Oryzias latipes: one gene and its partners. The protein of the gene in region 3 purifies or fractionates together with the protein of the main gene of each other region. This does not show direct contact. Links are inferred from orthologs where the notes say so. Each region holds a gene or a part of one and is shown on either strand. Other genes may lie near its edges. The genes, in order: mtcl1, fuca1, mark2, utrn and arhgef2.

Evidence for each region.
Region 1: the proteins of mark2 (region 3) and mtcl1 purify together in Homo sapiens (affinity purification with mass spectrometry; 5 studies listed by BioGRID and IntAct, with this or other methods). This does not show direct contact. The link is inferred for Oryzias latipes from reciprocal best matches to the Homo sapiens genes MARK2 and MTCL1.
Region 2: the proteins of mark2 (region 3) and fuca1 purify together in Homo sapiens (affinity purification with mass spectrometry; 3 studies listed by BioGRID and IntAct, counting the BioPlex papers as one, with this or other methods). This does not show direct contact. The link is inferred for Oryzias latipes from reciprocal best matches to the Homo sapiens genes MARK2 and FUCA1.
Region 4: the proteins of mark2 (region 3) and utrn purify together in Homo sapiens (affinity purification with mass spectrometry; 4 studies listed by BioGRID and IntAct, with this or other methods). This does not show direct contact. The link is inferred for Oryzias latipes from reciprocal best matches to the Homo sapiens genes MARK2 and UTRN.
Region 5: the proteins of mark2 (region 3) and arhgef2 purify together in Homo sapiens (affinity purification with western blotting; 3 studies listed by BioGRID and IntAct, with this or other methods). This does not show direct contact. The link is inferred for Oryzias latipes from reciprocal best matches to the Homo sapiens genes MARK2 and ARHGEF2.

What each region holds. Positions count from the first base shown.
Region 1 is NC_019875.2:4,636,810-4,643,520, reverse strand, and holds the start of mtcl1 (microtubule cross-linking factor 1), read right to left. Parts: upstream 4,476-6,711; 5' UTR 4,039-4,475; coding exon 3,241-4,038; intron 1-3,240. Other genes in the region: rab12 (ras-related protein Rab-12), read right to left, coding at 6,445-6,552. UniProt on the Homo sapiens protein: Microtubule-associated factor involved in the late phase of epithelial polarization and microtubule dynamics regulation.
Region 2 is NC_019869.2:24,115,825-24,121,869, reverse strand, and holds part of fuca1 (tissue alpha-L-fucosidase), read right to left. Parts: intron 2,312-6,045; coding exon 2,177-2,311; intron 1,336-2,176; coding exon 1,198-1,335; intron 1,116-1,197; coding exon 1,010-1,115; intron 926-1,009; coding exon 725-925; intron 588-724; coding exon 397-587; intron 1-396. UniProt on the Homo sapiens protein: Alpha-L-fucosidase is responsible for hydrolyzing the alpha-1,6-linked fucose joined to the reducing-end N-acetylglucosamine of the carbohydrate moieties of glycoproteins.
Region 3 is NC_019876.2:13,071,577-13,078,227, forward strand, and holds the start of mark2 (serine/threonine-protein kinase MARK2), read right to left. Parts: upstream 4,556-6,651; 5' UTR 4,320-4,555; exon of another isoform or gene 3,287-4,319; 5' UTR 3,266-3,286; coding exon 3,218-3,265; intron 1-3,217. UniProt on the Homo sapiens protein: Serine/threonine-protein kinase. Involved in cell polarity and microtubule dynamics regulation. Phosphorylates CRTC2/TORC2, DCX, HDAC7, KIF13B, MAP2, MAP4 and RAB11FIP2. Phosphorylates the microtubule-associated protein MAPT/TAU.
Region 4 is NC_019882.2:8,816,226-8,822,270, reverse strand, and holds part of utrn (utrophin), read left to right. Parts: intron 1-879; coding exon 880-1,017; intron 1,018-1,355; coding exon 1,356-1,469; intron 1,470-1,664; coding exon 1,665-1,820; intron 1,821-2,046; coding exon 2,047-2,217; intron 2,218-2,304; coding exon 2,305-2,496; intron 2,497-2,605; coding exon 2,606-2,740; intron 2,741-4,911; coding exon 4,912-5,061; intron 5,062-5,238; coding exon 5,239-5,400; intron 5,401-5,610; coding exon 5,611-5,742; intron 5,743-5,978; coding exon 5,979-6,045.
Region 5 is NC_019874.2:32,693,481-32,700,041, forward strand, and holds the start of arhgef2 (rho guanine nucleotide exchange factor 2), read left to right. Parts: upstream 1-2,451; 5' UTR 2,452-2,550; coding exon 2,551-2,607; intron 2,608-6,561. UniProt on the Homo sapiens protein: Activates Rho-GTPases by promoting the exchange of GDP for GTP.

The DNA of each region.
Region 1 (6,711 bases), on a different chromosome or scaffold from region 3:
TGGACAAAACTGTTATGAAAGGACAAGAGTTCAGGAGACGTGATAAGAGGAGAAACGTTCCCTGGAGATTGATCTGGGAAACTTCCTGCAGCTCAGGACGCTTACAGCAGCTGAAGGTGCCATATTTTTCTCATTGTTCTGCATAAACCATATATACTGTAGATCAATGTTAGGCCGGAATGAAAATGTCATTCACATTTAAAAGCCAGCTTTTAATGGTTTCACGTTAAAAAAGTTGTAAAATAGAGAGTGTAATATGAAACACCTTGGTGGATTATGCTAATACTTTCACATGATTACATGAGTTCCAGGACTGCATGCACTTCTGTGATGATGTAACAATACTAGATGCCTGTAAGCATCTTATCTCCAGGGTTGGGTGCATTCATATGTTTCATTCTGCCTGCGACATCCAAGTCTGACTTTGTCCGCATCTGTGCCTCCAACCATGAGGGGACCACACATTTTCTGAGGGATCAATATTCTAAAAAGCTTGACTGGCCCCTGATGAAAAAAACAATTGGATCCATAAATGGAGGAAAGAGTATGTCCATTAAAGAAAAGTAAATCTATCCTCATTTGGAAAAGCCCACATGGGCTGTTGAGATCCCAGCTGGGCCCCGTGGGGAGGAGCTGACGACCTCTCACAAGGTCGAGCCAATCGATGGGCAGGTTAAAAGCAAAGACAGACCTGGCGGTCTCCTGGGAGCAGGTGTGTGCAAACAATACTCCTGATGTTCGTAAACGCTGGGTGCTGGCTCACAGCTGCTTCTTTACCACTCTTTATAGTGTCCTCATCTCCACTTAGCAGATGCTATAACTAATTTTTGATCCATTCATCTTGTAAACCCGTTTTTTTCCCTTTCGGGGTCACGGTGCTGCTGGAGCCTATCCTAGCCACTCGTGGGTGAAGGCAGGGGACACCCTGGACAGGTGGCCAGTCTGTCGCAGGGCCACAACTGATTATATCAAACTATATAAGTTTTGGCTGAATGCATACTTGGGGTCTACGCTAGTTTTAGTCAACTGGTACTTTGTGTAGAACAGTTTTTCCCGACCCTGGTCCTCAGGGAACACTGTCCTGCATTTTTTCAATCCAGCTCTGCTCAGACACACCAGCCTCTGATGACCGTCATTGTCCGGCTTCTGCAGAGCCCGATGATGAATCAGGTGTGCATGGGCGGGGCAACATGGAAACCATGCAGGATAGTCTGCCCCAGGGACCAGGGATGGGAAACACTGATGTAGAAGATGGAAAATATTCAGTTGGTTCCATATTACAGATTGTGCCACTAGGCGTCACTGCATGCTGGACGTTGAAGTCCCACTCCCATCATCTTTTTATCTGTTGTCAAAGCGTTCCCAGTGGTCTTTTAATTATGAGCATGCTGTTTTAGGCAAAAATAACTTTTAAAAAGTGTTATTTTCCGCAGAGCGGCAGGAGTTCATCAGAAACTCCCCTCTGAGTTGTGGACAGGACTAAGTCTGCCCTCATTTCCCATCATCCATCTGTGTACATGCTCTCCCGCTAGCTTACAATCCTTACACCCCAACCTAACATTAGTGCTGCAAGAAAAACGGTGGGCAATATTGTAGCCATAGAGCTCTGATCCAGATTACAGCTGGGACGAGGAAAACAAAGACGTTCATGGATCTGTTTATGATCTGTTGGTGGATGATCAGAATGGAGCAGAGCAGGAAGACTTGAAGCTTCAATGTCACAGCTTCAATCTTTTTAAACTGCATTTTTTTCATTGGTTCCTGATTCACAATTTGAATAAAGAAATACCAAGGAATGCTATTTATATATTTATTCATATATGTCATCCATCATGAGAGAAATGCTCCAAGAACATGTTAAAAACACCAAAAACACCATTTTCCTCATTGGAGTGGGTCTTTATAAAGACACAGGACAGAAATGTTTTTCTAATTTGTGAAACAGCTTTATCTGTTTTTTCTTATTTATTTGAGGGAAATAAGAGATCGCTTTTAGGCTTCCTTTGAAAGGAAAAGTGTGTTCTAAATTAAATTAACAAATATTAACATTTTCAATAATTTGGAGGAAAAAAAACTGCTTTCGTTTTTTTGCTGTGAAACCTGCTAAACTGTTGAGAAAAGCTAGAGTTTGTTGATTCTGGATTGCAAAAGCAGTTCAAATTATTTAATGCAAAAATATCTTATGATAAAGTAGAGCTTATTGATCAAAGGGAAACATTTAAAAGGATTTTCTGCTGTCATAACTGTCAGTTCAAACATTTGAATTATTTATTTTAAACAGGTTTTCAAAAACAACCAGCTTTATATGCTGTACATTTTAGTCTAGCGCTGCTCTGAAAGAACTGGACTGACTCATCAGTTAATTGATTATCTGCCTGCACACAGATAATAGGTGAGGTGATAATCACCTGCAGGTTATCAAATCAACGTTTTTCTACAGTGAAACCTAAAAGACAAACTAAGAATAAATCCATCTTCACTTTATTCTTTTTTAAGAAACAAAATCTGCAGGAAGGATGGCAAACACGTTTTTGCATTCAAAGAGAGGGCAGCAGTAGGGGGTGGCCTTGTTTTCTGTGGGCAGGGGGGGCTGCACGGGGGAGCAGAAGGACCTAAGAGACCCAGCTGGCAGACTGACAACCAGGCAGGAGGGTGTTTGAGCCCCCCACACATGGGACATGTGAATGTGATCAACTCCTGCGGGATAAAGCCATCACAGCAGAGCCAGCAAAGCTGATTAAGTCTCTTGTGTCTCCACCAAACCAGGGAGGAAGGCCCAGCAGACATGCGCGCGCGCGTTCGAGCGAGCTCACGTTTGAAATAATACTCTCATCAGTCTTATGCAAATACATTCACGTCCCATCTGGCAAAAAGGAGGTTTGGTCTTTGATAAACTCTCCTCAACTTTAGAGTTGAAAGATGGGAAAAGAACCAGAAACGCAGAGCGCGAGTTTACAGATTCCTGACGAATAAAGATGCGTTCATATCTGAACCCAGAACATCAAACTATTAATACCCTCCCACATCCACGGAGCCAGCAGACTGTCAGATGTGAAAAGTTTGATTTTGAGAGGAAACAGTCGAATCTGCGGGGAATCCCTCAGGATTAAACTGATGCTTGTTTTGACATTTTCAGGAGTTTGTCTGAAGGACAATAAAAACAGTCCGTTCTAACTTTAGGGGTTGAATGCACCTGACTGACTGACTGCGTGAACCTGTTGAGAGACGGCAGCCACGCACCTTGAGGTAGTCGTTTTCAGATCTCAGATCCTCGATCTCCCGCTGCAGATCCTCCTCGGTCACCTCCTTGGCTGCGGGCTGTTTGACCTGTGCGCCGGCGGAGCCGCTCTCCGGTTTGCTGTCCTGTGCGCGCGCGCTTCCCTTGGCGGCGGGAGAGTCGCTCGTGCGCGGCGGCGCTGCGGCTGGCGCTCCCGGTTGGTCCCGGTCACTGGAGCCGGTACCGGACTCCGCGTCGCTACTTGCGGCAGGTGCCGCCCTCTGCTCGTCCGACAGCGGTTCGGACGGGCAATCCGACAAGTCGGAGCTGCTGTCGGTCTGAGTGACCCGGGCCAGACGGGCCCCTGTGGGGACCCGGATCGGGGATCCATGGCTGAACGGGCCCGGAGAACCCGCGGGTAATTTCCCCTTCTTGCCTTTGGTGAGGACCGGACTGCCAGCGGTGTCCGGCTTGGTGCTGGCGGCTTTGGGCTCGGTTGCTGCGTGCTGGGGCGGCTTTGCGGGCTTTTTCGCGGCAGCAGACCTGGTGCTACTTTTGACTGTGGCTGGTTTCTCCTTGGACCCAGCTGTGCTGCGTCTGGAGCTGCGGTTCTGGTGGGCTAAGGACACTGGGGCGCACTGCTGCTGCTGCTGCTTGGAGAGTTTGGGGGATTTGGGTCCGATGGCAGGTGGTTTGGCGGAGCGGGACGGCACATCCTTCAGGAAGGGTCTGGCCGGGGACGGCGCTCGGTTCGGTCTCTTCTTCTCCGGCTGCTGGCTGTGCGCTTTTGTGTCGCCACCGGAGCCATTGGAGCTCTCCATTATACACCGGCGGGAGCGGAGTGGAGGAGGAAGCGATCAATTCGCGGCCCCGCAGAAAAGCTGCCCGGTTTCGCTGCTCCCCTCCTCACCGGGGTGCGCATCCTGCGGTCTGCGAGGTCTCCTTCACTCCATCCCGGCTGCTGTGACCCCGTAGTCCCGTTTCGAAGGAAAGGCTGCCGGTAAACGCGGATAATCGGCGCAGACCCGGTGAGTGACAGGTGGCATCCGCTGCCTGAAGGAGCCAAAGTTGGTCAGACGGATCCGCGGCGGCGCTCCTCCTCCTCCTCCGCAGGCCGGCTCTCCATCCCCGCGCGTCCTCCTGCTCCCGTGAAGCTCTGCAATCACTGCGGCGCGAGGCTCGACGCTCGTCAGCTCCTACGGCGCGCATGCGCCCTGGCCCCGCCAGCACACCCCTTGTTTACTCCGGGACCAGGTTTGACACGCACGCGCTGCTGCGCATGTCAGAACGGAGCACGCCTTTCCTCTCAGAGCGCGCGTCACGGTTGATGAAGATTCCCACAGCAAATGAAAGACTCCGGTCTAGCAATAAATATAGACATCTTTAATAGCATCTCATTAGTTCCAGAATGCCAAAAAGTTATAAATACAACAAACCTGCTTTTTCCATCATGAATTACAAAAAAAATGAAGACAGGTTTAATACAAAGTAAAGTCTGCGCCTTTAAAGAATACAGATCGAAGCATGTCAGATGTAGTATTAGGCTTGGTTGTTACACTTAGGGGTTAGTAGCAAAAAGACAGACAGGTCCTGTTCTGAAAACAAAAATTCTAGATTTTCTACAAAAACCCTTTTGACTGAGTCCAATCATAGAAATGTAAGGATTTTATTTTGGTACAAAACCTTTTCTTGGATGGACATGGTGCCTTTTTAAACCTTTAAAAGCTAAAATTGAGCATAAAACGTCAATAAAAAAAGTCTTTTTAGGCCATCAAATTTACATTAACATCATATCTCCCCCTAAATGCCACAGCTCAACAAACATATGAAGGATTATTGTTTTCTAAGAGCACGGGAGGAAGTATAGCACATATATGTCCATGTAGTGGGTTTAAATAAACGTCAGACATGGACTCAGTTGGGAGAAAACCGTGAAGGAAATTCCTGTCCGCTCCGTAAAGGAACATTTGAAGCAGGGATTTAACATTGCAGCCGTCAGAAAAAAAACATTTCATTCAAAGACTCTGCAGGAGCGTCTTTTTATCAGACATGACTCAACAGAGCTGATCTGGTTTCTGCAGTTTTTTGGGGGACTGCATGGAGGAGGGTGGGTGGGTGGGTGGGGGGTGTATTTGTATGAAATCTGGCACTTGAATACGAAATGCTGCCACGTCCCAGAAACCAGACCTTTCGTTGGATTCAACACTCGGACTTGATTGAGCCCGTCCTCAAAAAAAAAAAAAAAAAAAAAAAAACAATCAGGCCTTTTTTCAAGTTTCCTGAGTCGAACACTGAACAAAACCGCCTTGCACTTTGCCCCAAAAAAGGAAACTTGGAGTTTAGCAATAAAACACAAACACCACAGAAATATTAGTCACAATAAAGAAAAAAGAGATGTGCACTTGATTTTCCTCTCCACATCCTCAGGTAGTGAAGGGTTACTTGCTCCAGCCTACATTACCCATCTCTCTTTGCGTCTCCAGTTCACTCTGAGCCTCACTCTCTGCTGAGGCTGCACTGATCTTCAGGGTGCTAAACTACAACTGTTCTCCCCCTTCACTGAGAGACTCTAGTGTCAAATATGACATCCTCGGAAAAAATATATATATAGCAGTTACAGATACTAGAAAACGGAATAAGTTAGAATCACCACTAAAATAAAAACAAGGCCCTTTTTCTGTGGGTCATCATGGCACCACGGCATGTTTACGGTGTGTTTCGCTTCCTTCAACCCAAATGACTTAAAGAATGTTCATCTGTATATAAAGTAGTTCAGCTGTGAACCCAGAGAGTAAACTTCTCTTTATTTTCTGTCTTCCAGAGGTGATGCGCCGGGCTAACTTGGACAAGATGTGGAGACAAAGAGAGAGAAGGATATTACTGCCCTTAGAAAATGTGCAACTTTTCCTGGAGAGCTCTCTATGTGGAAGGCACATGCAGGCACAGCTGGGTTAACCATCGATGCAATGAGGTAGTCGGGGTCACATGTAGACAGTGAGGTGGTACTAGGATAAAGAAGAATCTCCAGGCCTAAAGGTTAGTGTATGCTGCATATCTGAGAAGAGAAACGGAGGAAGATAATACTGCTGCTTTGACAGTTCATGCATCATTTACAGCAGCCTTCAACCATCCACACAGCTGCTGTGTGTCGCCCCCCAGTGGAGCCACGTGTCCACTGCACGCTGGGGTTTCTATGTGCTTTGTGAGAGAGGGATGATGGGAGAGACTCAGCAACAACGCATGCGGGGCGGGGGCAGTTCTGGCGGTACTTCCGGCTCCGGCTGCAGGGACAGAACGCTGTTGGACAGCTCCTTGCTGGGAACTTCCAGAGGCATCTGCAAAACCAGGAGCAGAAACACAACTTAGTGCAGCACACGAAAGCAACAAGCACGACAGTTCCCACAACAGGTCACACAATGACTTCTCACAGTCGCGCTCTGATCGTCTTCTGACCTATTTTCAAAGCGTTCCCAGCTGTCTTAATTATAATCATC
Region 2 (6,045 bases), on a different chromosome or scaffold from region 3:
TATCTTCTCTGACACCCCTCGCGAGGGGGGTGCCGGTGAGGAGCGCGTCGTGTCCCAGACGTCCGGACCCCGCACCGTCCGGGCGCAGCTGCTGGTGGACGGAGCGAACCGTGTCTCTGACCAGAGCGTTTAATGAAGAGAAACCATATTTTAACGGGGGGGTATTTAGAATTTATAATTTGGTGTTTGCATTTTTATGTTGGTTTAAAATTAAATGACAACAAATTTTTCCTCTGAATTTTTTACTCAAATGTCTTGTTTTTATAGTGAATATTGTGATATAGTTGTATTAAAAACTGGAGAAATGAAAACTGTTTTCACTTCACAACGTCTTCTGAAAAGGCTTAAAAGTTTCGATCCAAACGTTTCTAGAGTGTCGGGATCATCTTTTCTTACCAGACTGGGACAGTGGTGTTCTCCATCTGGACCCTCCAGGGTTTGGAGGCGTAGATGGCCTCTCCGTTGACCTGGAGCCAGGCTCCAACGCCCCGAAGCCTCTCCTCAAACACGGCAGGGATCATTCCATCAGCCGTGGGACCCACATTGAGAAGGTAGTTGCCCCCAAGAGCAACTGTGCTGACCAGATCCTGCAACCAAACGGAGCGGACTCATGAGTCGATGACCAAATCAAGAAATTCTCTTTTTTTGTAGTTATAAAGTCGAGTGTTTCCAGGATGCAGGGTTTAGTCAATCGATTTGACTTGAAGGTTAAATAGTCTCAAACCTCAATAATGGTGGGCAGGTCCATGAGTTCCATGATCCTCATATTCCGTCTGTAACCCCAGGACAGAGTGTCCACAGACGTGCATTTCTCCCACTTGTGCTCTGGCAGCTGGCCTGGGGAGTACTTGTCTTGGCAGTTGTAATAGCCGCCGTGTTTGCAGGCACAGCCAGCCCCCCACCGGTCATTGGTCACCACGGTGTCCTAGGATTAGGGGGAGGAGGAGTCATGATCAATGCTCCTTGCAGCAGTCACTCCACTCACCTTCTACATCGTATAGAAACCTACTTTTACAGGGCTGTCATTGTAGAGCCAGGCCAGGAACTCGGCGGAGTTCCAGTAGCTGTCTGGCGCCTCCCAGTCTCCATCGGACCAGATCAGCTCCGGTCGATACCTGTAAGACACAGAAACCGAGCGTTTAATGAAGGGACTGCTTCAAAACTTCACTGTTGATCTTGGACTGATGGAGGACACACCTGACAACCATATTGTAGAGCTCTGGAAGCAACTTCTGCTTCACAAAGTCCTGCGTCCTGAAGCCATTCTTCTTGTCGTTCAGGTACAGGGGGTGGAACCACTCATATAAGGAGTTGTAGAGTCCATAGTGCAGGGACCTGAACAAAAATGTGTAAATCCTCACAAGAATGCAAGAACACTTTTGGTATCAGGAAAAGTTGTAAAAAAAAAACCTTGGAGAACTGGAAACAAATGAAAATCTTCACACCAGAGGTTTTAGCTCTAAGGCAGAAGTGTCTGACTCCAAGTCTCAGCATCCAGCATCCTGCTGATTTTTAGGAAAATCTGCTGCCGATTACCTGGATAACGTGAGATTTGCAGAGGAGCTTTAATTGCAGGTTAGTTGGAAAACGTGAAAAACACCGACCACCGAGCCTTGGAGTTTGACATCTGTGCTCTCAGGTCACTTATACCATGGTCCGGTTGAATACTCGATTCTGATTGGCTGCTGGGTGTGCATTAAAACATGATAACCGCACGGTGAAAAAAGAAGTTCCGGTCACCTAGCTTAAATGTTTTGTATCACTGCGCCGGCTTCTTTAAAACAACCTTTTGCTTCATCATTTGGACAAGAACAAGCGGTAAGAGGTGAACTTTCTCTCTGAACTGATGCTTTATTTAACACATCAGAATGATCAGCATTTATATATTTGAACTAATATATATATTAGTTCATGCACCGCATCACGTAACAAATAGTCCGCTTTTTGGGAGAAAAGCGATCCAAATCGGGAAAAAAAACAAGAATTAAGGACTAAAAACTGGTTAATATGTATTGCTTTTGTAAGTGACCATGATATAAGCGGGTTAATGGCCTTCGAAGTGTGCGTTATTACTCCGCTTCGCATCGGACGGTTCAGGCTTCCATGGCGTGCATTAAAAAGTGATAACGCCACTTCGTCAGCCATTAAACCTTACATGACTTCTGTGATGACCCACCTGTTGCGCACGGCCTCTCCCAGCTCTCCCACTAAATCCCTGTGAGGACCGGAATCAACAGAGTTCCAGTTCCAGGAGTTCACAGACTTCCAGTTTGTAAATCCTTCATGATGTTTGGCAGTGAGGACGACGTACCTGACAAAGCAAAAGGAAGATGAAGCAAAGGAACCGGGTCTGCACATAAACCAATGGAACTTCAACTGTGTCTTTCATTCACAGATAACAGATGCATTCTAGTCTGTTCGGATCATTTTTCCTCTTTGATTCTGCAATGTAAAGCAGAAAAGAAGTGATGCAACAGTACAGATCTCTGTGTAGATGATATGGACTTAAAAGGAGAAAGACTGAACCTTGTAGAAGGTGGATAACTTTTGCAAAGACCACGAATTGATATAAAATCCCTAAAAAGGGTCTCCTGTCACAGCACCAGACTGGAATGCAGGCCCAGTTCTTCCCATATATTTTTGTCACCTGCATAACAGGTGATTATGTCTCAGGCCTGTTGCCATGGCGATGACAGTAATTCTCCAGTTTGATCATCTGGACAGAGGCTTCTGACAGTATAGTGCAGGGGTCTGCTACCCGAGGCTCTGGAGCCACATGTGGGTCTTTAGTTTAAGAAAAATACAAACTTTCTCTTTTTGGAAAGCAACTTTAAAGTTAGAAAGTGAGTAAGCAGCTTAAAAAAAGCAAATTAACGAATCACTCATTGACTGTATAAGAGAACTGGACTGAGTGACTGTGACATCACCCGTAGAAACCAGTACTTCCGGTTCCAACCAAAGTCTGTTCAGTCACCATTTTTCAGCGATACGGACGCCTCCATTTGGAGCCGGACAAAGTCAGGCAGCAGTGATTGGTCTAAATTGCTGTTTCTATAGCACCTACTGTCGCCAATCAGGACTGAGCTTGTCAGAAGTACACAACCCTTCCACTGAAAGCTGGCTCAGGAGAATCTGTCAATCAAATTTTCAACGTGAGGGTCAGTTGACAGCACATGCTTTTACTGAAGGATGTGATTGGTCAGTTTATAACTTGCAATAAAGGAATAAAAAAAAATCAGACAGCCGTAAGACAGAGTGAAGATAATGAAGCAATTAAAACAAAACAAAAATCCATCATAATATAAGTCTTTATGCAGACAATGTATTGCTCTTGCTCCTAAACTCTGAATTCTCAATTTCCAGAGCAGTGACAGATATTGACACTTCATCAATCTCTGAGTACACTATTAACTGGATCAGTGCCATTACCACTCAATGGTAATGTGGAGCCAACTTATAACATTAAAGACGGGGAACATTAAATATCTAGGTGTCACATACCCCGTCTATCAGAGTTAGTGCAATTAAACCTTATAGTAGGCCTGCACAACAAATTACAAATTTATCATCACGATATCAAGCTGCGCAATACACATTTCACAGAAGTTGGCAAAAATTGCTATAAATGGTAACCTTAAATTTGTTAAAACAATCTTATGGCAGTTTGAAGTATTTACCGAATCAAATAAATACCTTTATGTATTTGACAAACAGATGGACCCCTTTTATGTTGGGTTCTCGCCTCCTATGTAGACGTGGGTCATTTGGAGTACAATCTAAGTTATGTTGACTCTTATTTTAATTAAACCATTGTATTTGAATGTAAATGATGTATTTTGTTGTTTTGCCATTTGTTCATGTACCGTCATCGCAATTTTGATCACTATTATCGCATACTGTGCAGTCCTACCATTACTTAAAAATGTACAGGACAACCTAAAACGATGGGTCAACCTGCCGATATCACTCATGGGCAGAACAGCTTCAGTTAAAATGAAAATACTACCAAAAATTAACTAACTTTTTTCTATTATCCCAATACTACCAGCTGCAACGTGGTTTAAATCATTGGATACATCCATATCCACGTCTTTAATGGAAAAATAAGCCATTGGTTTAAAAACTTTGAAAAATGCTAAATCTCATGGTGGTTTAGTTTCCAAACTACCTCAACGTCTTCCTTGCTCATAGACTACAGTATATTTTAAAATGGTAGAATAATAACCCAACAGCCCACTCAGCGATGGATGTAGAAGAGTCGTGAAGAGATCAGATCTGCCATTCATTAGCAGTTCCATTAAGCGGTATGTTTGCTTTAAATTTATTCATATTAAAGATACGTTACCAGCATGGTGGGAACTCTTTAAAACGACTTATTCTTATTCTACACGGAGTTAACGGACTCCTTTTGGAACGATCCTGACATCCTGATAAGAGAATTGTTAACTTCTCCACCTGGCAGAACACACATGTTAAACCTAAAGCTAAGTGTTGTAGTCCTATTTTATATTTTTATTTCTAGAACGGTGCTAGACCATGCAGACACTTAAAAGTCAAGAGTAAAATTTTAAAATCGAATCTAAAATAAACGGGAAACCAGTGTAGAGCGTGGTATGGGGACAATGTGATCACACCGTCTGGTCTCCGTTAGTAAACGGGCAGCTGAATTCTGGACCAGCTGAAGATGGCGGAGGAGGGACTGGTCCATCCCAGAATAAAGTAGTCCAGTCTAGAGAAGATGAAGACATGAACAACCCTTTCCAGGGTGTCATGAGGGAGATATGGCTTTACTGTATTGATAAATCTGAGATGATAAAAGCTAGACTGGACTACTGCACTAACATATATCAAATTTAAAACTACTATCTGAAATAACCCCAAGATTCCTGATAGAAGACAGGTTAGAGTACAATGATCCACTGGGACTACTGCATTCTGTCAAAAGGTCAGTTTTCTCAAACAGAAGTACTTCCGTTGTTTTTTTTTTTCATTTAAGCAGAGGAAGTTTAGGTTCATCCAAGTTTTAACTTCCTCTAAACACTTCTGTAGGTTCTCTACACACTGGGCTCCACCAGATTTTATTGGTAAATAAATCTGTATGTCATCTGCATAACAGTGATAGAACACATTATACTGATCAAAGATGGCACCCAGTGGGGAAGCAGGTATAACGGAAATAACATAGGACCTAAGATTGAGCCTTGAGGTACCCCATGTCTAAGTGGGGCCTTTGTGGACGAGAATTGTCCAAGTTGGACAGAAAAACTCCTATCAGATAAGTAAGACTCAAATCATTTAAGTGCTGTGCCTCTCACGCCAACAGACTGCTCTAATCGATAAAGTAAAACATCATGATCAGCTGTGTCAAATGCAGCAAGTAGATCCAGAAGGGTCTCCCCGCAGAGGCTCCAGAATCCACAGTTAAAAGCAAATCGTTGCACACCCTGAGTAGAGCCATTTCCGTTCTGTGACGTGATCTAAAACCAGACTGGAATTTATCAAAAATGCCATAAAGCTCTAGATCAGGGGTGGGCAAACTACGGCCCGCGGGATGGATCCGGCCCGCCTCCATGTTTGGTCCGGCCCACTGAATAATATCAGAGACCTGTTTTTTATTTTTATCTGGCCACACGATCAAGACCCACATAGAATGTAACATTTTATTCCCCCCTTTTGCAGTCTGGGCTCCAACCTGAAACCCTCTAAAATCCCTGTTAAACAGAACAGAAGACAGTCTTCCCTTTCTACGTCGCAGTTCATTTTCATACTTTTAGAGCAATTATGCTGTTCTTTTTCAACAGCGCACCCTGTTGTGTCCTGATTGGCTGGAGACCTTGTCAATCAATCTCCTCCGTACCATGTCTCCTGTGCAGAAACGCGGAGTTCTTCAGATCAGAAATCTTTGATCGATCAGATCTTTGTTTTCATTCTAAGATCCTGGACCTAATTTCTATGAAGGTTTTGAAAATTTAGACGAGAGAAAAGGGTGAAAATGTTCATGTCTGTCGGAGAAAAGTCTGTAATCATTCGCCCTGGATTTCACCG
Region 3 (6,651 bases):
AAAATCATTACGTAACGGGCATCTGCTCTCAAACTTAAAATAGAATTTTCCAGTTTGCCAAAGATGACTTGCTGTGTGTTCACTCGGCTTTCTGTTCAGATCACATTTCACTTTTGTCGATGAAACATTATGCTGATCATGTATAAAAGGTCTTTCAATAGTTGGATTTATTTTTGTCTTGAGGAAAGAACTTTAGCAGGAGACCGCTAGTAAAGACAAGTTTGGATGGTGCTGTGTTTTGAGGAAAAGATGCACGATGGGAACTAATTTAACTTCAAATAAAAAAAGATAATTAAAAAAAGAAGGCTTTATTCCCCCTACGTAACTTATTTAGCTTCAATTTAATGCATGAGGTGTGTGGAAAACAGCTTGTAGAACTGGTTCCTTTATGAGAGTCACGTCATCAGCATGAGTTCTGAATCTGCTCCTTTAGCTTATTGTTTCAGTTCAATACTTGACAACAGACATTTGTTAATGAACAGATGTTATAAGACACTGATTTCCATCAGGGTGAGGTCTGGACTTTGAGCCCTTTTTCCCCTCATTCGGTTGTATATTTGATAGTGTTCTCATGATTGTCCTGTTGGAGGATTCTATTTCACTTAAACTTTACAGTTGACTGGTAAAAAAAAGTTTAAAAAAAACAACCAAAATCACCCCCTCCTCATCACTTCTGTACTTCAGAATTGTTAGGAGGTGTTTGTACCGACACGGTTTAGGTTTAAATTTGGCACTGTGAAAGCCCACATGGCTCTACTTCAGTGCCACAGGTTTAGAGGACTGTTAACTTGTTAACTGAGGAAACAACATCAACACAACTCTTTTTTATATGTTATCTTAAAGGGATTTTAATCTAATACAATAAAAAAAATTTGGCATATCAAAGCACCTTATCTGTTAATATATTACCAATCACTTTGGTTGTTGCTTCAGAAAAGAAGTAAAAGAGGGGATTCAGTTTTTAACTTAAATATGGAAGAGTTACACCAAGCTAAAAAGAAAAAAAAAGATTTGGACTTTTTCCAGCTGAGGTCTAACTTTAAGTCAAGACAAAAACTCAATTTAGTCCCAGTCAAGCCAGTAGTCTGTCAAGAAAAAGTTTCATATAGTTCATATAATATGTACGCTTTCCTGCTTTATGATTGTCCTAAAATGAAACGACCTGGTGTTTATTGCATATGTCCACTTGCTGTCACTTCTCAGTCAAATATCAGTCTTTAAACTATAAAGAAGAACTAAAAGGTGTGATTTATTCTCAATGTGACACTTGGAATAATAAATCTGTACGTTATAACTATTTGCAGTGAGTTTTGATCCAAATGTTTTGTGAACATACTCTGAGTGTACAATAAATCTTTAAACCAACAATTGCATCGTTAAAAGTTTCATTCCTACCTTTTATTTTCCCATAAGGGTGCAGCTATGCGCCAACAAGCATCTGTCCCTCCCTGTATGTTCAGAGTTATGACTACGCCCTCATATCAGCTGAGCGTCAACCTGCTTTCTTTTTCTACACTGTCAATTGTGAAATGTGGCAGTTTTGCCCTCACACTGACTCCTGACATCCATTTATCTGCAGATAATCCACCTGTGGTTTCACAAAAAAAAAAGGTTAATAAAGATCCCCTCCTTTTAGTCATCTAGAAGTTTTATTTGGTTTAAATCTATTTTTATACACTTTATAAACGTTCCAATATCATTTTAAGCTACAAGCTAAAAAAAAAAAATAGTTAAAATCCTCACCAGAAGAGAGCAAAAAGAAATCCAAGCATGGGAAGTGTAATGTTCTGCTTTAGGAACATATTAGACTTATTTACTTGCTAAACTGTTGCATGAGGGACATGCATTTAAAAAGAAAAAACTCATATGGGGATTAAACCTAAGCTTTTTTTTTTAGAAAATAGTGCAGATCCGACACAGATTGCAAATTACAGCTCTAAAGGAAAATGGTTGTGAATACTGAAAATACCCATTTTCAAGTAGCTTTTTTTGATAAATTTGGGGGGGAAACAAAAACCTAGTGTTTAACTTAGAATGTAGTACTGCACAAGGATCTGTACTAATGGGAGAGTCTTAGCTGAAATCATGAACTTTTTCAAAATGCCAACCTTTCAAAGACCGATCATTTTTAAAACTATTTTAAAAGCGCTCCTAGTGTTGAATATGATTACCGTATGTCATTTAAGCCTAATTGTTTTTTAAACTGTTTTTTTCTAGGTAAGTTTCTGCAGAACAGCAGTAATCCATTAGAAATTTGCCAAAGAATTGTGAGTAAGACCATTGTCACAGAGCAACCCCGCCCCCTTTAACATCACCCATAACTGAGAGCTCTCCGTTTTCCTGCTCTCCTGCTAGTTTACAGCCCAACACACTCCCGACCTAACATTACCAGTAAAACAAAGATGGCAAGCAATATTTGAGCTATACACTTTTAAGCCAGATGCCACCGCGGATGAGGAAAACAAAGACATATTTGGATCTCTCCAAGTGGATTCATCAAAAATGGAGCAAAGGAGGGAGCTTGTGGCCCACCCAACATGTGTCTACATCTCAAATACGCTCATTTTTAAACTGTGTTTTGTCACCTGCTTGTGATTCACAACAATTTGAATTAATAAATACTCAGAAATGCAACTTTAAGCTCTATTTTCTACTATATCATGTGAAAAATGCCACAAGAACACCAAAAACACATTTTCCATCTTGGGTCTTTAAGCTAAAAGAAGTCCAATTTGATATTTCTCTCTCTCTTTTTTTTAATCCAGCACAAATTATGTGCACCACTACTCTATATGATCTAAAATTCCACTATCAAAGTTTAGAAGAAGCATACATTTTCAAATTCATGTTGTTCAGACACTTCAATTAAAAAAATAAATGCTGCAGATTCGGAGAGAGAGCTTCAAGCTATGTAAATTGGAATATTAAATATTAAGCAATGTCAGAAGATCAGTTTAAAGTGAAAAAAAAGGCTAGCAGCAAGACGTCCAAGAATCAGACTTAGACTAAACAGCTTCCCAAATCTGCCCTGAAGGGCTAAAAGGCAGTGGGAAATCCAGTGTAATTGCGTAGGCAAACTGGTGAATCACTGCTGTGGCGAAGGAAAGACCGACCGAGAAAAACCAAACACCGATGAAGGCCAAGTCGGGCCTCTACCCACATATACAGCATAATGTTTATAACATAAATGTTGCTTCGTATAATATGACAATCTTACCTGCCCCGTCGAGTTTTCAATGACTTGCAACAGCGGGACCCTTGACATGTTTTAAAGACTTTGGGGGCTCTAAAAAGATGGAAGAAAAAAATAGCGAGGCAATATAAAGATCTGTCAGTGTCTCTTGTTCATCTAACACCCGTGGAGTTGATGATAGAGGGAAACGTCCGACAGATGTGCAGTGTTATCCAGCCAGAAGAATGACAGATATCCCCGAGAATCAACAAGTCCAGTCCTCATCCGAGGCTAGGAGTTAGCCGGCTAGCTAGAAGAAACTAGCTAGTACTAGCGACTGATAGTCCCATGTTTCTTAACGAACAAAAACAAGATAATCAAAAGGTTTCCAGTTTAGCGGGTATCTAAAACCATTCAAACTGTGTTCAGAATTGAACAGACAGTGCTATAGGGTTTAATATCTTTTTCTTTTGATGGTCGAACCAGCTAGCCACCTATGCTATCTTGAAAAGGAAAGAAAAAAAGTTGGGCAACGGTTGAGTTGAAGGTACAATTAGGTGGCTAACACGCTAACCTAAAGGTAGCCAACTGTCCGATTAAGGCCCCAATTATCATAAAGCATGTATATACATATATATGTTTGTAATTATGTATATATTTTATGTTTCAAAAACAAAACTACGTCGTCCGTCTGTCTGACTTATTTGTGGCTCAGACGTTTCCTTAGGTTCGAAGCCAGGTTCGGTGTCTACAAACTTTCAGGCCAAAGTTATTCCCGGTCACGTCTCGACCTTCCCAAGTCTGGAAAACAATTGAAATATTCCAAGTTAAATTCCCGAAGCAATGGCTTTGAAAAATAAAGATAGAAATTTGGAAAGTGGCAGCATAGTAGGTTTAGAGCCCCAAATTAATTTGTTGCGCTGGCTAACTGGTTTGACGGTTTTAGCCCATGTAGCTAGCCAATTTAGCGGTCCTTTTACAAGGCAAGGCTAACTGGTTAGCTGATCCCCGGCGACCGCAGCGGCGGCGACTGCCACACAGCGACCCGCAAAAACTCCAAATCCACGGAAACCGCAGAAATCCTTCTTATGTTGCGTGATCGGAATAAGGTCGTCCACCAGTGCTGCACTGCAGTGTAGCTATATACCAGCTCGTCCAGTCGGTACGCCGACTATTATCCCAGCCACCCGAAGACGGAATCATCAGGTTGTACAATCCATTATTGGAGAAGTTGGATTTTCTTGTTCGGAGATGCGTGTCAGGGGCGGGAGAGGCAGAAGGCGATGAGCTGTGCCCGAATGCCGTCTGTGCGCACGATCCTGCCCTGATACCGGAACAAGCTCACGGCAACATGGCTGCTTGCACCACGACTGAGTGGAGAGAGGAAGGGAATTCTGCGTTCGGCTTTTCTCGGTATTTTCCGGCTCTGCCGTTGACTGACTGACTGCCCTTCCCTCCGTTTTAGGATCGGCAGGTGCAGACGTGGATGTAGGCTGAAGGCCCCGTGGAATCATATTTTTGTTATTTATTCAATTTATTGCTGTTTGACTCTATATGCTAATTATTATAGTCTAGTTTTTCGGCCATTTACGTCACAGTTACTGGGGTAGAAAATATGTAGGGTTAAATCAAATTTTTAATCATTTTTCAAAATAAAAGCGAAATATATAAATATTTAAAATATATCATATATTAAACATATTATTATTATGTAGAAGAAATAAACAAAAGCAATCTGTTATATTAAAAATTAAATAAACCATCAAGTAAATATTCAAATAGTAACTAAAGTAAAAGTAAACAGTACCATAAATCTAAATTAATTATCTTAACTCGTGAAATCAGCTGAAACGTTTTTTTTTATTTAGCTGTAGATAAAAGAATATTCTCTTCGTTACACAATCCCCTGTTTGGATTACATTAAAACTGTGTGATTTGTTTTTATAAAAAGGTGATTGGCAAATTGTTAATAAATTATTTTTCGTATTTCTTACTCTAACAATATATAACATCATACTTTTTATTTTTAAATTTGTAGTGAATTTTTTTGGTTAAATATATTGTGCCATTGTTTTTGTGCACACCAAGAATAAACTGGATAAATATTAAAAACAAAAAAGTGACTAAATAAATACAACCTACTGTAGCTGAGTAGTTTTATTAGGACTTTACTTTATTAGATATTTATTGTTTTAAAGGCTCTATTAAAAGTACATTTTTTACTAAATGTGAATGAGGTATATTTAACTTCTTAGTTCCCATTTCTGCATGGTAAAATGTGAACCCCGTAAAGATGCAGTGTTTCCTCTTCAGACCTACAATTATTTAAATGCCAGATGCATTGCATAGCAAAGTCACTTCCTCGTTCCCTTTTTATTGTCACTCTTTGAGTTTCTTCTTTTTTCACAAAGCCTGTTTAGTTTCAAGGCAAAACAAAAAGGGGGGAGGGATTTTACAAAATGTCCTATTTATTAAGTTAAAGTGTTAAGGGGCCATGTTTAGTTTAAAGTAGTTATAACTAAAGGTACTCCACCAGGAATGGAAGTGACACAGAAAAACATTTGACGAAAGTGTGGCCTATTTTTAAGATCCACCATTCACAGGCGGGGCTGAAAGGTAGTTGAATCATGGAACTCCTACTATCTCGCTGCAGTCTAGTCAAATTATGGGCCTTCTTTGCTACCACAGCACTAAAAATAAAATGTAAATATACCCCCATGTTATCCGCTAGTGTGAGATGCAGCAGCCATGGACATGTTCAAGTTACTTAGCAACAGCCTAAGATGATTTGGGTGTCAATGTATAAAACACTGGTAATGTCAGATGATGTGCTGTCATAATCCTAAATGCTCACACAGTGACAGAAGATACCAGCAAAAAACAAAAAACAAAAAAAAACAATCAGGAAGCAAAGAGGAAGTCAGAGAGACTAGAATCCAGGATTTCCAGATGAATCAAGGGGAAAATCAGCTTCCATCATGATAAAAGGAGAGTCCTCAAGGGCAGGTATTCCACTGCAGGGAACAACAAACCCTTTTTTGAACTTAAAGACAATTTTTTTAATGATCAAAAGCATGCAAATTCAGTAACATCACAATTCTATGGTGTAACCCCCCCCCTTTTTTTTAAAGCAAAAAATAGTTTAGTTGCTACGGAAATTTTGTGAAAGTGTCGCCATCTGCAGGATGAATGAAGATATTACACATCTATCTCTATAACTAGTTGAACAGACTTTTAATTAGAGCCAATTTCAGAGGATTTCAAGTCCTGTGGGATGAACATTAAAGAAAAACGACAGGCTTTAAAGCTCTGTATTTCCCCTTCACGGTGCCAAATGAATTTGGCAGTGTAGCCAGTTATTATTGACATGCAGTCAATGTTTCCCCCTGCTGATCCGGGCCAACTGTACACACCATCGGGTGTTTGATATCCGTCTTTTAAACATTTATAGCATTTCTATCATTTGTGTCAAAAATCAT
Region 4 (6,045 bases), on a different chromosome or scaffold from region 3:
CTTTTCTGCAACAGGCCCTACTTGTTGCAATAACAATAATAATAATAATAATAAAAATAATAATAATAATAAAGGCATTCCCACAAAACAGGTCAAAGCATTTAGGCAAAGATACTTTTTTTAGTCCATTCTGAAGGTACAATTGATTTTAATTTGTCCAAACAGACCATTTTAACTTGAGAAGAGGAAGGTTTGAAGTACATTGGACTTTTTTAGACAACAGAGACACCTTTGATCATATCTAATGTCTGACAGAACTGCACTGTCAGGCTATTTTTTAGGGATTTTTTTTGCTTTTCATGATATCACTTCACTGTTTGTCCCCAGTAAACAACATGTCACTTTGTTACCATGGGAGAAGGGTGCATTGTGTGTGTTTACAACACTTTCTGTGTTTTTGCATGCAGTCCTGAAAGTATGTGGTGTTTTGTGTGTTTGCTCACCTCCTCAGCTCTGTGCTGGAATGTGAATCAGTCTGCAGCCTCGTTTTCATGACAGACAGGGGCACAGGGCCGGGTGGGGAGGCACATTCTGGGCAGCGTGCCCGTCCATGCAACTCCTCAAATTTCTCTGTGGATTCTGAAAAGCTGCCAAGCTGCCTGATACCACAACATACAGGACAATACTATGATGGCGTGTCTGAGATCACTTTATTAGTCCGGGGGGATGCTGGTAATGGTCTGGCTTCATGTTCCAGAACAAAAATTAACTTTACAGTGTTAGAAAGCCCAATCAGTTCAATAAATATAAAGAGTACTCATGAAAACCTAAAAACAATTTTTTTACTCGATGCTCACATTTTTCTTTTTTTTTCTTTACCTTTTTAACGAAAGTTCTATTTTTTGGGTGATCCTAAATTGTCTGTGGTTTGCCCTTTAGAGCTTGTGCCTGCAGATTGAGCAAACGCAACAAGCGTCTGATTCAGGAGAACTACAAAAATGGAGTCAGCTCTCCTCCAGGGCACGTGAGGAGCATGGCACGTTGCATTGCATTTTGGGGTGCATGAAGGACAATCAGGTGGGGCAGCTTGAAACACTAAAATGGTAGTGACTGATGATTATTTTTCACCTTTTCTTTTTTAAAAAAAATGAAAAAGGCATACATATAGAAACTATTTTTTCTTTTAAATTAATAAAGGGGAAACTAAGTTTAAATATAGTTGTATTTGCATTTTGCGAATTATTTATCTGTTTGTATTTTTGCAATTTATTCTTTTAGGGTAACACCATTGTAATTTACCCCACAAAAAATGAAACGTTTCCACATTTAATGCCAATAAATGTAATGTGTTGTGTTAGAAAAATATGTAGATTCTCCTTACATTTTAAAACTCCTACAATACTTCTTGCACTTAGGTGTGTTTGGAGCAAGTGCAGTGCTGGTTTGATGCCGTTCAGGAGTTGTTGTTTCGGGACACCACAGGTTTGGGAGATGGAGAGAATCTCCATGAAGAGCTGAGCAGGTGCAAAGTAAGAACATTAAAGCATTTTTGAATCTCTTTTAGTTTTTGAAGCAGAAAAGGAGTTTTTTTTTTAATCAAAATCTGCTTTTAAGAATTAATGTTTTAATAATTACACCTTTTGCCTAAAGTATACATTTTTGGAGTGTTTTTCTGGTTCTTGTAGTCCATAGCAATATCAGAAGCTTCTTCTGTTTCAAACTAGGAGTATGTGAATGAGATGGAGTCAGTGGAGCGTTCATTGAAGCAGATGGAAGAAAATGTGAAAGCTGTGCAGGCGATTGCAGTACCAGGACTTGCAAAGTGGGGGCAGGATAGGTTGGAAGAGTGTCAGGAAAGGTGGGCGGAGCTGAGCGCACAGGTGAGAACTTTTTCTTTTTATTTTACTTTGTCTTTAAATGGGAGAGGTTGAGTCTCCTTTTGAAATTTGTGTTGCATAATTTAGTCATAGCAGAAACTGCGTAGTTCCCTCTTCAGACTCGTGTTAGTATCTGTTAATTGCAGCTTGATTTAAGGTGGTGTCAGCGCTGGAACTTTTTTTTTTTGTTATGTCTATCTATAAGGTGCATTTTTGTGTTTTCCTTCAGCTCCTCAGTCATCAGGAACATACTGCAGAGAGTCAGGAGAAGCAGGTCAACCTGAAGAAAGACCTGGGAGAGATGCAGGAATGGATGGCTCAAGTTGATGAAGAGTTTCTGATGAGAGATTTTGAGTACAAAAGTCCAGAGGACCTGGAAGTGTCTCTGGAAGAGATGAAGGTGGGATTGGTCGTGTCAAATTTTGAAGAGTTAAGCCTTTGGTTTTTGTTTAACCCCTTTCTGCTGTCCTCTGGTGGGACACCATAGAGAGCTAAAGAGGATGTGCTACAGAAAGAGGTGAAGGTGAAGATCCTGAAGGACAACATCAACACGCTGGTGTCCCGAACAGCTCACCTTGGTGATGGCTTTGGACAAGAGCTGACCTTTGAGCTAGAAGGGGTCCTGGCCAACTATAACAAGCTCTGTGACCGTCTCAAGAGCAAATGCCACACCTTGGAGGTTTTTTTTAAAATCTCTATTCTTGTGGATTTTAAAGTTTTTCTATGTGTTGAGGCTTCAAAAATGTTTGTGGATAACATTCCTGCTCACGTTGGGACGTGCTCTTCAGGAGGTGTGGTCCTGCTGGATGGAGCTGCTTCAGTTTCTGGACACGGAGCAGAGCTGGCTCACCTCTTTGGAGGAAAAATTACATGCAACTGAAAACCTACCAGAGAGCACAGAGGCTGTCAATGAAGCTCTGGAGGTATGTCCCCCCCCCCCCCAAATCCTGCTTTTGGGACAGCCGTTTCTATGAAAGTGGGAATTACATCCTAAACTTTGACGGATGCTCCATGCTTGAAAGCAATTTTTATCTGTACAGAAATTTATTTAGAGTCCCACTGCGATCATCCTTGATCTATTGTAAAAGCTTTTTAAGGATGCTGCTTCTGCAGAGAGTAGTTCATTAGAAATGCAGCTCTGAGTTGTGAGTTGGACCTGTGGCGCGGAGCAACCCCGCCCTCCCTTCCCCTCTTTGTTACTGAGAGCTTTCTGTTAAAACGCTTTCGCTAGCCTACACACCGACTTTGTGACGCTCGTCAAAGAACGCGCTAAACACGCTTTCACACTACACGAGCAAAGAGGGGCTTTTACTGTTTACTAGTGCATGTCCGCCACTTACAACACAAGAGGCTTGGTGTGAAAAGTCGCAGCCAGCGGTGCAAATCGCGCAATTTAGAGACAAAACTGAAACAGTTCGGATCATTGTTAGCACCTTTGCATTGGGGGATATGGATGACAATCATGTCAGGAGATTGGCCTTGGTCTGTCCTTGTCTGGGTTCGCCAGAGAAACCAGCTACGCTCTGATTTGGTGAGTTTCACCATGTCATTACCAAATCAGAGTCACTGATAGGTCAAAGTTCAACCTGGAATATCTGGCAACGAGTGTTAAATTGCCACGCGTTGTGTACGTAGAGAAAAGGGTCATAGAAACTTGCATAGCCATGTGTAAATGCAAGAGTTTTGAACGCAGAAGCTTGAAATGAGCAATTATGCCTGTTTACATAGACATTTCATTGGAAGTAGCCGCTAGGGTGCTCATTACCAAGGGCGGTGTGAACGTAGGTTAACCTTCTTCGTGAAAATTATGTTTTTGTTGTTTTAACATGTTCTTGTGGCATTTTTCTGATGATGGAGGACTTATTTAAAGAAAACTAAACTTAAAATTGAATTTCTGAGTAACTTTATTCAAATCAATCAGGAGCAGATGAAAAAAAATGCAGTTTGAAAAAGAGTTTTTGAGATCACAATCCTTTAAGAAGTCACATTAAAATAAGGACACACTGTACATTCAAAAGAAAGGAAACCTAAAGGGTACCCCATAGCGGAGCAAAAACGGTGTGTAAGCCAGAATTGGGACACAGTGTTATTATCCTCCCCGAAACTATACAGTAGAGCAGGCACAGTTTGAAAAAGAGTTTATTTATGAGGTAGAAAATACGCCGGGCAGGTCACAAGCTCTCTGCTCCAAGCTCTCAGCAACGGGAAGAGGGGCGGTGTTGCTCCGCACCAGTGTTCCCCTCCCACAACTCAGAAGCCATTTGCTTATGAACCACTGCTGCTCTGCAGAAGCTATGTCCTACAAACACAGGCGTTTTGATTTTGGTTAAAAGCAGAAACATTTTCAAAACCCCTTAAAAATGTAGACAAATAATTTTCATGAAGAGACCCGTTTCAGGCTAAAAAGCAAAACTGATAGGATTAATAAAATTGGAAAAGGAAGAAAGGAAGATTTTAAAAGTCGTTTGGGTTCGCAGAAACTTCAGACTAAACATGCATGACGAGTTTTCCACAACTGGATGCTTAAATGCTGTTACTAAATGTTAATGACCTAATTTGTCTTTGATTTGTCTTCTGCTTTGACGTGCTCCATTGCTAAATCTGTAGACTGCCTGGGGCGCGTCTGTCAGACTCATTTTCATCACAGAGGGGCATCTGCAGCCTCACATAGCGATGAAGGAGACCAAAGTCCCTCGCAGACAGAGTTTCACCTTCTTGTCTGCGTCCCATTGGTCCCCCCCCCCCATCTTTTCTTCTTTCCACCAATACTTGGGGCGAAAAAGTGAAGCTACAAAAACAGTGTTGGATCCAAATATGAGGTGTCGCTCCACAGCTCGCTCAGTTCACTCCTCCTCTTTTTTTTTTTTGGCTTGTCTTGTTTTTTTTTTTTATTGACAGTGCGGCAGTTTCTGCCTCCACTCTTCATCCTTTTTTCAGGGCTTTTGCTCAGTCTGCAGTTTTTTTTGTCGTTAATCATATTTTAATCATATTTTTTGAAGGACAACATTTTCTCCTTTTTTTACATTCATAAAAAAAAAAAACTATTGTTGTGTTGTGAGTCTAGTCTGACCTGTCTGCCCGTTTCTCCTTCTAGTCTTTGGAGGATGTGCTCCGCCACCCTGGGGACAACCGGACACAAATCAGAGAGCTGGGTCAGACGCTCGTAGACGGCGGCATTCTTGATGAACTCATTAGCGAAAAACTCGAAGCTTTCAACTCGCGCTTTGAGCATCTCCACCATCAGGTCAGAACAGTTTTCTCTTCTCTTGACCAGAACTTAATTGACTCAATTTGTTTTTTGAAAATGTTTCGTCACATTTTCGCTGTCACAATATTCCATTTCAGTAAAAGTTAATTTTTTTTGTAAGGACTTGTGACTGACTCGCAGCCCTGCCTTGCTCCTTTTGTTTTTGCCCTTCAGGCAGTGGACCGACAATCGAGCCTCGAGCAGCAGCTGCAGACATTGAAGGAGAATCAACAGGCGCTCCAAAATTTCCAGGAGTCTGTAAGCCAGCTGGACCACACTCTCACCTCCTATCTTACCGATCGCGTAGACGCCATCCAGCTCCCTCAGGAGGCACAGGTGCAACACACATGCTCACAAATACCTACTTTTAGGAGGCATGGATTTTGTTGGATGGTTATAGTGGGTTTCTAATCCCAAAAGAATGAAGAATACTACTATGTGGTAAATGGAATACAGTTTTGAGATCACTGTAGGTTATTTTCTGCATCAATACTAACCATTAATTTGGACAAGATGTCTCTTTTAACATATTTCTCATTCCTTTAGTCCATCGCCGCTGAAATTGCAGAACTTGAAGTGACGATGGAAGACATGAAGAGGAGAAATGTGTTCAACCTGCCTCCTCCCGCGGCAGATGCCAAAGCAGCTCGCGGTGGCACCATGTTGGATCAGCTGCAGGTAATGCTGCCTCCTGCTGGGCTGTCTTTGGAAATGCCTTTCCCTAAAACTATTTTTAATCTTTTGCAAATATTCTTTTCTATAAAAAAAAAGTCACTTTATTAAAAAAAGAAAGTAATTTGTGGGATTATTTCTGTTAATAATTCATGCTGCAACCCAAACCTAAATGTCATAGCGTCTGACATTTAAGTCCTGCAAAACTGCAACTTTGTTCATTTTTGTGACTCTTTCTACAGAGAAAACTGAGGGAGATCTCCACCAAGTACCAGCTGTTCCAGAAGCCTGCTAACTTTGAGCAGCGCA
Region 5 (6,561 bases), on a different chromosome or scaffold from region 3:
CCGTGCCCCATGCAAACCACAGCACCGGTTTGTTGAGACCATCACTCACATTAGTTAGCAGACAGTCATATCTGTCTGTTTATTTTGAACACCCCCACCACCAGCCAAACAGCCTTAACCTCACTTCTGCTCACAGCTCCCTCACTTATGGTGAGCAATTTAACACACCCAAGATTCCCCACTTCCCATGAGTCTTAAAAGCTGAAGGCGAGGCTAACCCCCAGATCGCCACAATATATTGATTTGCTATATGAGCAGTATTATATTTTGAGCATTCCCGCTAAATGATATTTACCCTTCCAATCATTTTTTACATTCTGGCTTTAACTGGGACAGTGATCTTTGTGTCTTTTGTGGAAATGATGTAGAAACTGTGGAACATCTTTTCTTTGAATGTTTTTATGTAAAAGAGTTTTGGTCTTCTTTTCATAATTGGCTTAAATCCAAATATATCATCATTGACCCTATAAATTGGAATACCATTAAAATTAAATTACAATTAATTCACAAAAATCTGGACTTTCTGATTGATGCACTGATTGTAATTTCAAAGCATTTTATTGATACTTGTAAATTCTTAAAGGTGAAACCTCATATTAATGGATTACTCAACCGTCTCAACCTATTCTCTAAATCTTTACATTACATGAATCATAAGAATGCCCAGACATTGTGTAATTTATTTGATCTATTTCAACTTTTGTAATAGATCCTTATTTTTGTTGATTATTTTTTAAGTTAGATTTGTTTTCATATTTGTTTTTTTTGTCTACCTTTGTCTCAGAATTGATATTGTTGTCATTGACAGACATGCCATGATTGTTTGTTGAATATTTGCTTCAATTTTAAAAAAAAGAAAAACTTTTTTGGGTGCATTCCCTGCGAGCGCCACAAGGGGTGCTCGTGGGCGAAGTATTGTTTGTGCCACTCTGCCTTCTTTTCTAAGCATTGCATTTAGACCTAATCTTCTGTCTCCTGACCTTGTGTCTGACTCCGCCTGCCCCGACTCTCGCCTGGATCCTGACTACCCCATCTGTCCTCTGATGATCTCATGGCTGTTATTGACCCTGATTTAGCTTTGTGGACTTTCAACGGAGCTAACAAACCTGCTGCATTTGGATCCAGCTGTCTGCCTGTTTTTAAGAAAGAGTCGTATCATCGGCGAGCTGACTTCCGACAATAGATTTATTAGCGATGGAAATCCTTTGTAATGGACTGGATTTAATGTGGCAACAGAGAAACAGAGCTACAAGGAGAAATAGATGGCGATATAGAAAATCCCTTTCTAATTCCACGTTTTATATCAAACCTAGGTGATGATTCATTCATTCATCATTTATTCATCTTCTTAACCGTTTATTCCCTTTCGGGGTCACGGGGTTGCTGGAGCCTATCCCGGCTACTTGGGCGTACCTACCAACCTAGGTGATGAGCCAGATTTAAGTTTAACAGAGCAGGTGGCTTTGTTGTAAAGAGTTTTAATGACTTTGCAGAAGAAGTCACCAAAACCAAATTTTTGTACAGAACAATCCAGGAAGTTATGTTCTACTGTGTCAAAAGCCTTAAATAAGTCCAGAAACAACATAAAGGAGTCATCTGCAATTAGATGATTAAATAAGTACATCCAAAACTAAAGGAATATTATTGGCGATATGTTGCTAGAGTTACCGTTTGGGTGAAATTGATAGGAGTGTAAACGGGTTTATGAGATCTCAGGTAGAAAAATGTTAAGTCCCTGTGAACACAGATGGGCTCACCTGACAGAAAGTCAGTGGAATATAATCTTTTTATTACACTATAAATACATCTTATCAACAGAATCCAAGAATGAATATTCCATTTTATACATAGATGTCATCCAGTAAAAGATGAAGAAACATGCACAGGAGAACATGCTAACTCCACACAGAAACGTCCCCCTTTGGTGGGACTTGCACCGGGGATCCTCTAGATGTGACTAAAAAAAAACGTTCTCTGCGCACAGATGCGCATGCTCAGTAATGTCCCAGCTTCATTACCAGACCTGTCCGATTCTTTGTGCCTTCACGTGCGGAGGTGTAGGTTCGTCCTCCTCACCTGCAGCCCCCGTTTTTGTCCAGATGGGGCGGAGTCGATGGTGGAGTTCCACGTCACATGCTTTCTGCTGTCCACCCCTGAGTGGGGAGGGGCGGGGTCGCTTTCACCGCTCTGTCAGGGATTTGGTCATGACCAGCATGATCTCTTGGCGCTCTAGAATAGGCTGAAGCAAGTCACGTGACGCAGTGACACGTCTTTCTGAGGATAAACTCCACCCACCCTTTCACCGGCGTAGACGTGTGTAGGAAACGAGCGCTCCTGAGGCATCTGGTGGGCGGGTCCTGCGTGGTTATCAGTGACAGGATTGGCTGAGATAGTGGGGAGCGGGCTGAGCTCTCATTTGTCAGTGTGAAAAGCGGAACTGTCAGTCAGAGCGAAGCCCCGCCCTCCGGCTCTGAGCGCGCGCGGCTCCGGCGGCAGGATCCGCAGAAAGAGTTTGTGAGGCGGCCCCGGTGTGAGCCCGAGCTCGTGAGGATGTCGCGGCTGCTTGAGAACCGGAAACAGGACAGAATGAAGGAGGTCCTCTTAAAGGTGAGGAGGCGCGCGCGCGCGCGGACCTTCACGCTAAGGTTCGCGCGCGCGCGCCTGCTGAGACTCTTAATGATGGGTGGGCTTTTTTTCACATCTGGACTCAAGCAGGAAGACACGCGGAAAGTTTGGAGCTTCAGAACGCGCCCCGTCAAACGCTTCCCTCGTTTTGTGGAAAGAGCGCGAGGTGCGAGCTCATGCGCGTGTGGCGATGTGTTCAGAGAGTTCGCTGTGCGCGTGCCCGTTATTTTACCGGGTATCAACGCCAGTGAGCGCGTGGCGCTTTGTCCTGCAGAAGGAAGCGACGGGGGGAGGGGAGCGCGCGGCTGCGCTTGCGTGCACGCATCTTTCAGGAAGTGTCCAGGAGCGAGGTGGATGTGCACGCGCTCATGGTGAAGAAATAACGGAAACTCCGTCGCCAGGACGACAACGAATGTAAACAAAAACTCTTCCGGCGGTGGAGGAGTCATGGTCGGGGTCGTTTTAGTATGAAATGTGCTTTTTCAAAATAAAACATTAAAGACACAAACTCAAAGTTTGACTTTTAGGCTGGAATCAAAGAAAGAAACATTTCTGTCAACGACAGACGTTTAGTTTGACAAATGAAGCCAAAGACCAGATCTGTGGTGATAATCCAGATTATTATTCTGTCATCACCATTACTGTAAGCAACAGATTACATGGAAGGAGTTTTCAGTGTTTCATCTCCACACGGAGGAAACTAAAACCAACGGTTACTTAAAAAGTAATGTGGTCTTCATCAGTGACAATTGTGATGAAGCGTGAATTTAGGGATTAACTGTGATTGTAGGGATTACCTGTGATTGAAGGGATTACTTGTGAGTCTATAGATTACCTGTGATTGTAGGGATTACCTGTGATTGTAGAGATTACCTGTGATTGTAGAGATTACCTGTGACTCTATAGATTACCTGTGATTGTAGGGATTACCTGTGATTGTAGAGATTACCTGTGACTCTATAGATTACCTGTGATTGTAGGAATTACCCTGTGATTGTAGGGATTACCTGTGACTCTATAGATTACCTGTTATTGTGGGGATTACCTGTGACTCTATAGATTACCTGTGACTCTATAGATTACCTGTGATTGTAGGGATTACCTGTGACTATAGATTACCTGTGACTCTATAGATTACCTGTGATTGTAGGGATTACCTGTGATTGTAGGGATTACCTGTGACTCTATAGATTACCTGTGATTGTAGGGATTACCTGTGACTATAGATTACCTGTGACTCTATAGATTACCTGTGATTGTAGGGATTACCTGTGATTGTAGGGATTACCTGTGACTCCATAGACTACCTGTGATTGTAGGGATTACCTGTGATTGAAGGGATTACTTGTGAGTCTATAGATTACCTGTGATTGTAGGGATTACCTGTGATTGTAGAGATTACCTGTGACTCTATAGATTACCTGTGATTGTAGGAATTACCCTGTGATTGTAGGGATTACCTGTGACTCTATAGATTACCTGTTATTGTGGGGATTACCTGTGACTCTATAGATTACCTGTGACTCTATAGATTACCTGTGATTGTAGGGATTACCTGTGACTATAGATTACCTGTGACTCTATAGATTACCTGTGATTGTAGGGATTACCTGTGATTGTAGGGATTACCTGTGACTCTATAGATTACCTGTGATTGTAGGGATTACCTGTGACTATAGATTACCTGTGACTCTATAGATTACCTGTGATTGTAGGGATTACCTGTGACTCTATAGATTACCTGTGACTCTATAGATTACCTGTGATTGTAAGGATTACCTGTGATTGTAGGGATTACCCGTGATTGTAGGGATTACCTGTGATTGTAGAGATTACCTGTGACTCTATAGATTACCTGTGATTGTAGGGATTACCTGTGACTCTATAGATTACCTGTGACTCTATAGATTACCTGTGATTGTAAGGATTACCTGTGATTGTAGGGATTACCTGTGACTCTATAGATTACCTGTGATTGTAAGGATTACCTGTGAACACTGGCGCTGCAGGTGAGAGGGACAGCAGATGGACAGGTGAACTGACGTCAGAACCCGGTGGTTCTGGTTCTGGTTTCAGTCCGGCTGATGCTTTGGTGGTCGTCACGCGTGTGTGGTTGTACATGTGCGTGTCCAAAGCCGGGTTGGTTTGGTGCAGAGTTCTTCATCCCGAGGAGGATGAGTGCAGCCGGCGCTCACTCCTACGCCCGTCTGAGGCATCCATCCTGTTGCCATGGATACCTGCTGGTTGCATCTAAGTTGTCCTCCCACACACACGTGCACGCCCACGCTCGTGCGCTGACTAAATATGTGGCCAAGCGTTTATGTTTTTACAGCTGACAGAGTTTAGTGAAGGTCCGATCAGAGCAGAAGTTCTGGATCGATCCGGGAGCAGAACCTGAGCCCCTCTGGCCCCTCTGGCCCCCGTGGCGGTGATCCGTCCGTGACCTTCTGTCATGGCGCTCAGACGGATCACACCTCCGCCACAGCAGAAGCTGTGAGGCTGTCAGCGCTCGCCCCACAGGAGGAAGTACGTCCAGAGCGGTTCTGACTTCTCTCAGCCAATCAGAGAGCTCCACACAGGTGACTGTTCACCTGGTGGGCGGCTCAGGACCTGCCGTTTCTGGCGGCCTGTTGGCTCCAGGATCAGGTTGTGGGGTGAAAGCTGATCGTCGTGTGTCTGCGGCCCCGTCCTCAGTGACTCCGCCCCTCCCCTGCAGACAGAGCGCTCTTTCTTCGCCTGCATCACTGAGCTCTTTCTCCATTGATCAGCTGATCGCTGACTGTCACCATTCACCGGGGCTGCTGGGAAGCAGGTTTCCCTGATCCAGAGGGGATCTGGAGGCAGTCTGATGGTGATGGGTACGGGGGGTGGACCGCAGGACAGGTCAAAGACTGGGTCTGAGCGTGCTCAGAGCAGAAATTCAGGAACAGCAGCGCAGCCTCCACTTCCTGCCTCTCCCAGCCAGAAAGCAGAAGTTCAAACAGCCATCTTAGCTTCTACACGACTCACACTTCAGGCTTTCTACTTTCAACCCCAATCAACGGTTCCCAGAGAGTCCAGAGTCCCTGACGCCGGACCGTCCGGCTCCAAAGCCCACCGACCAGCTGCTCTCCATGAGCAGACCTGGTGTTTTAGGCTGCTGGAAGGTCCAGTCTGCCTGAAGTCCTGCAGTTTCAGGAATGAGGCTGCTGTTGTCCTGCTGGTTCTGTTGGGTGGCCGACAGGACTCACACCACATACAAAAGAAGCAACGCAACGGCATTACCCCCAACACAACCACACAACTGCAGCACAACGGAAATGAGGACTGTTTTTTCCTACCGCCGGAAAAAAAAGCCTTTGTTGGCAATGACAGCCTGAAGTCTTGAACTCATGGACATCAGCAGATGCTGGTTTTCTACTTCTGAATGCTCTGCCAGGCCTTTACTGCAGCGGTAAACAGTTGCTGTTTGTTTGTGGGCCTTTCTGTCTGAAGTTTAGTCTTCAACAAGTGAAATGCTGCTCAATGGGGTTAAGATCATGTGACTGACTTGGCCATTCCAGAATATTCCACTTCTTTGCTTTAATAAACTCCTGAGATGCTTTGGCTGTATGTTTTGGGTCGTTGTCCATCTGGATTATGAAACGCCGCCCAATCAGTTTGGCTGCATTCACCTGGATCTGCGCAGACAGGGCTGCATTCACCTGGATCTGCGCAGACAGGGCTGCATTCACCTGGATCTGCGCAGACAGGGCTGCATTCACCTGGATCTGCGCAGACAGGGCTGCATTCACCTGGATCTGTGCAGACAGGGCTGCATTCACCTGGATCTGCGCAGACAGGGCTGTATTCACCTGGATCTGCGCAGACAGGGCTGCATTCACCTGGATCTGCGCAGACAGGGCTGTATTCACCTGGATCTGCGCAGACAGGGCTGCATTCACCTGGATCTGCGCA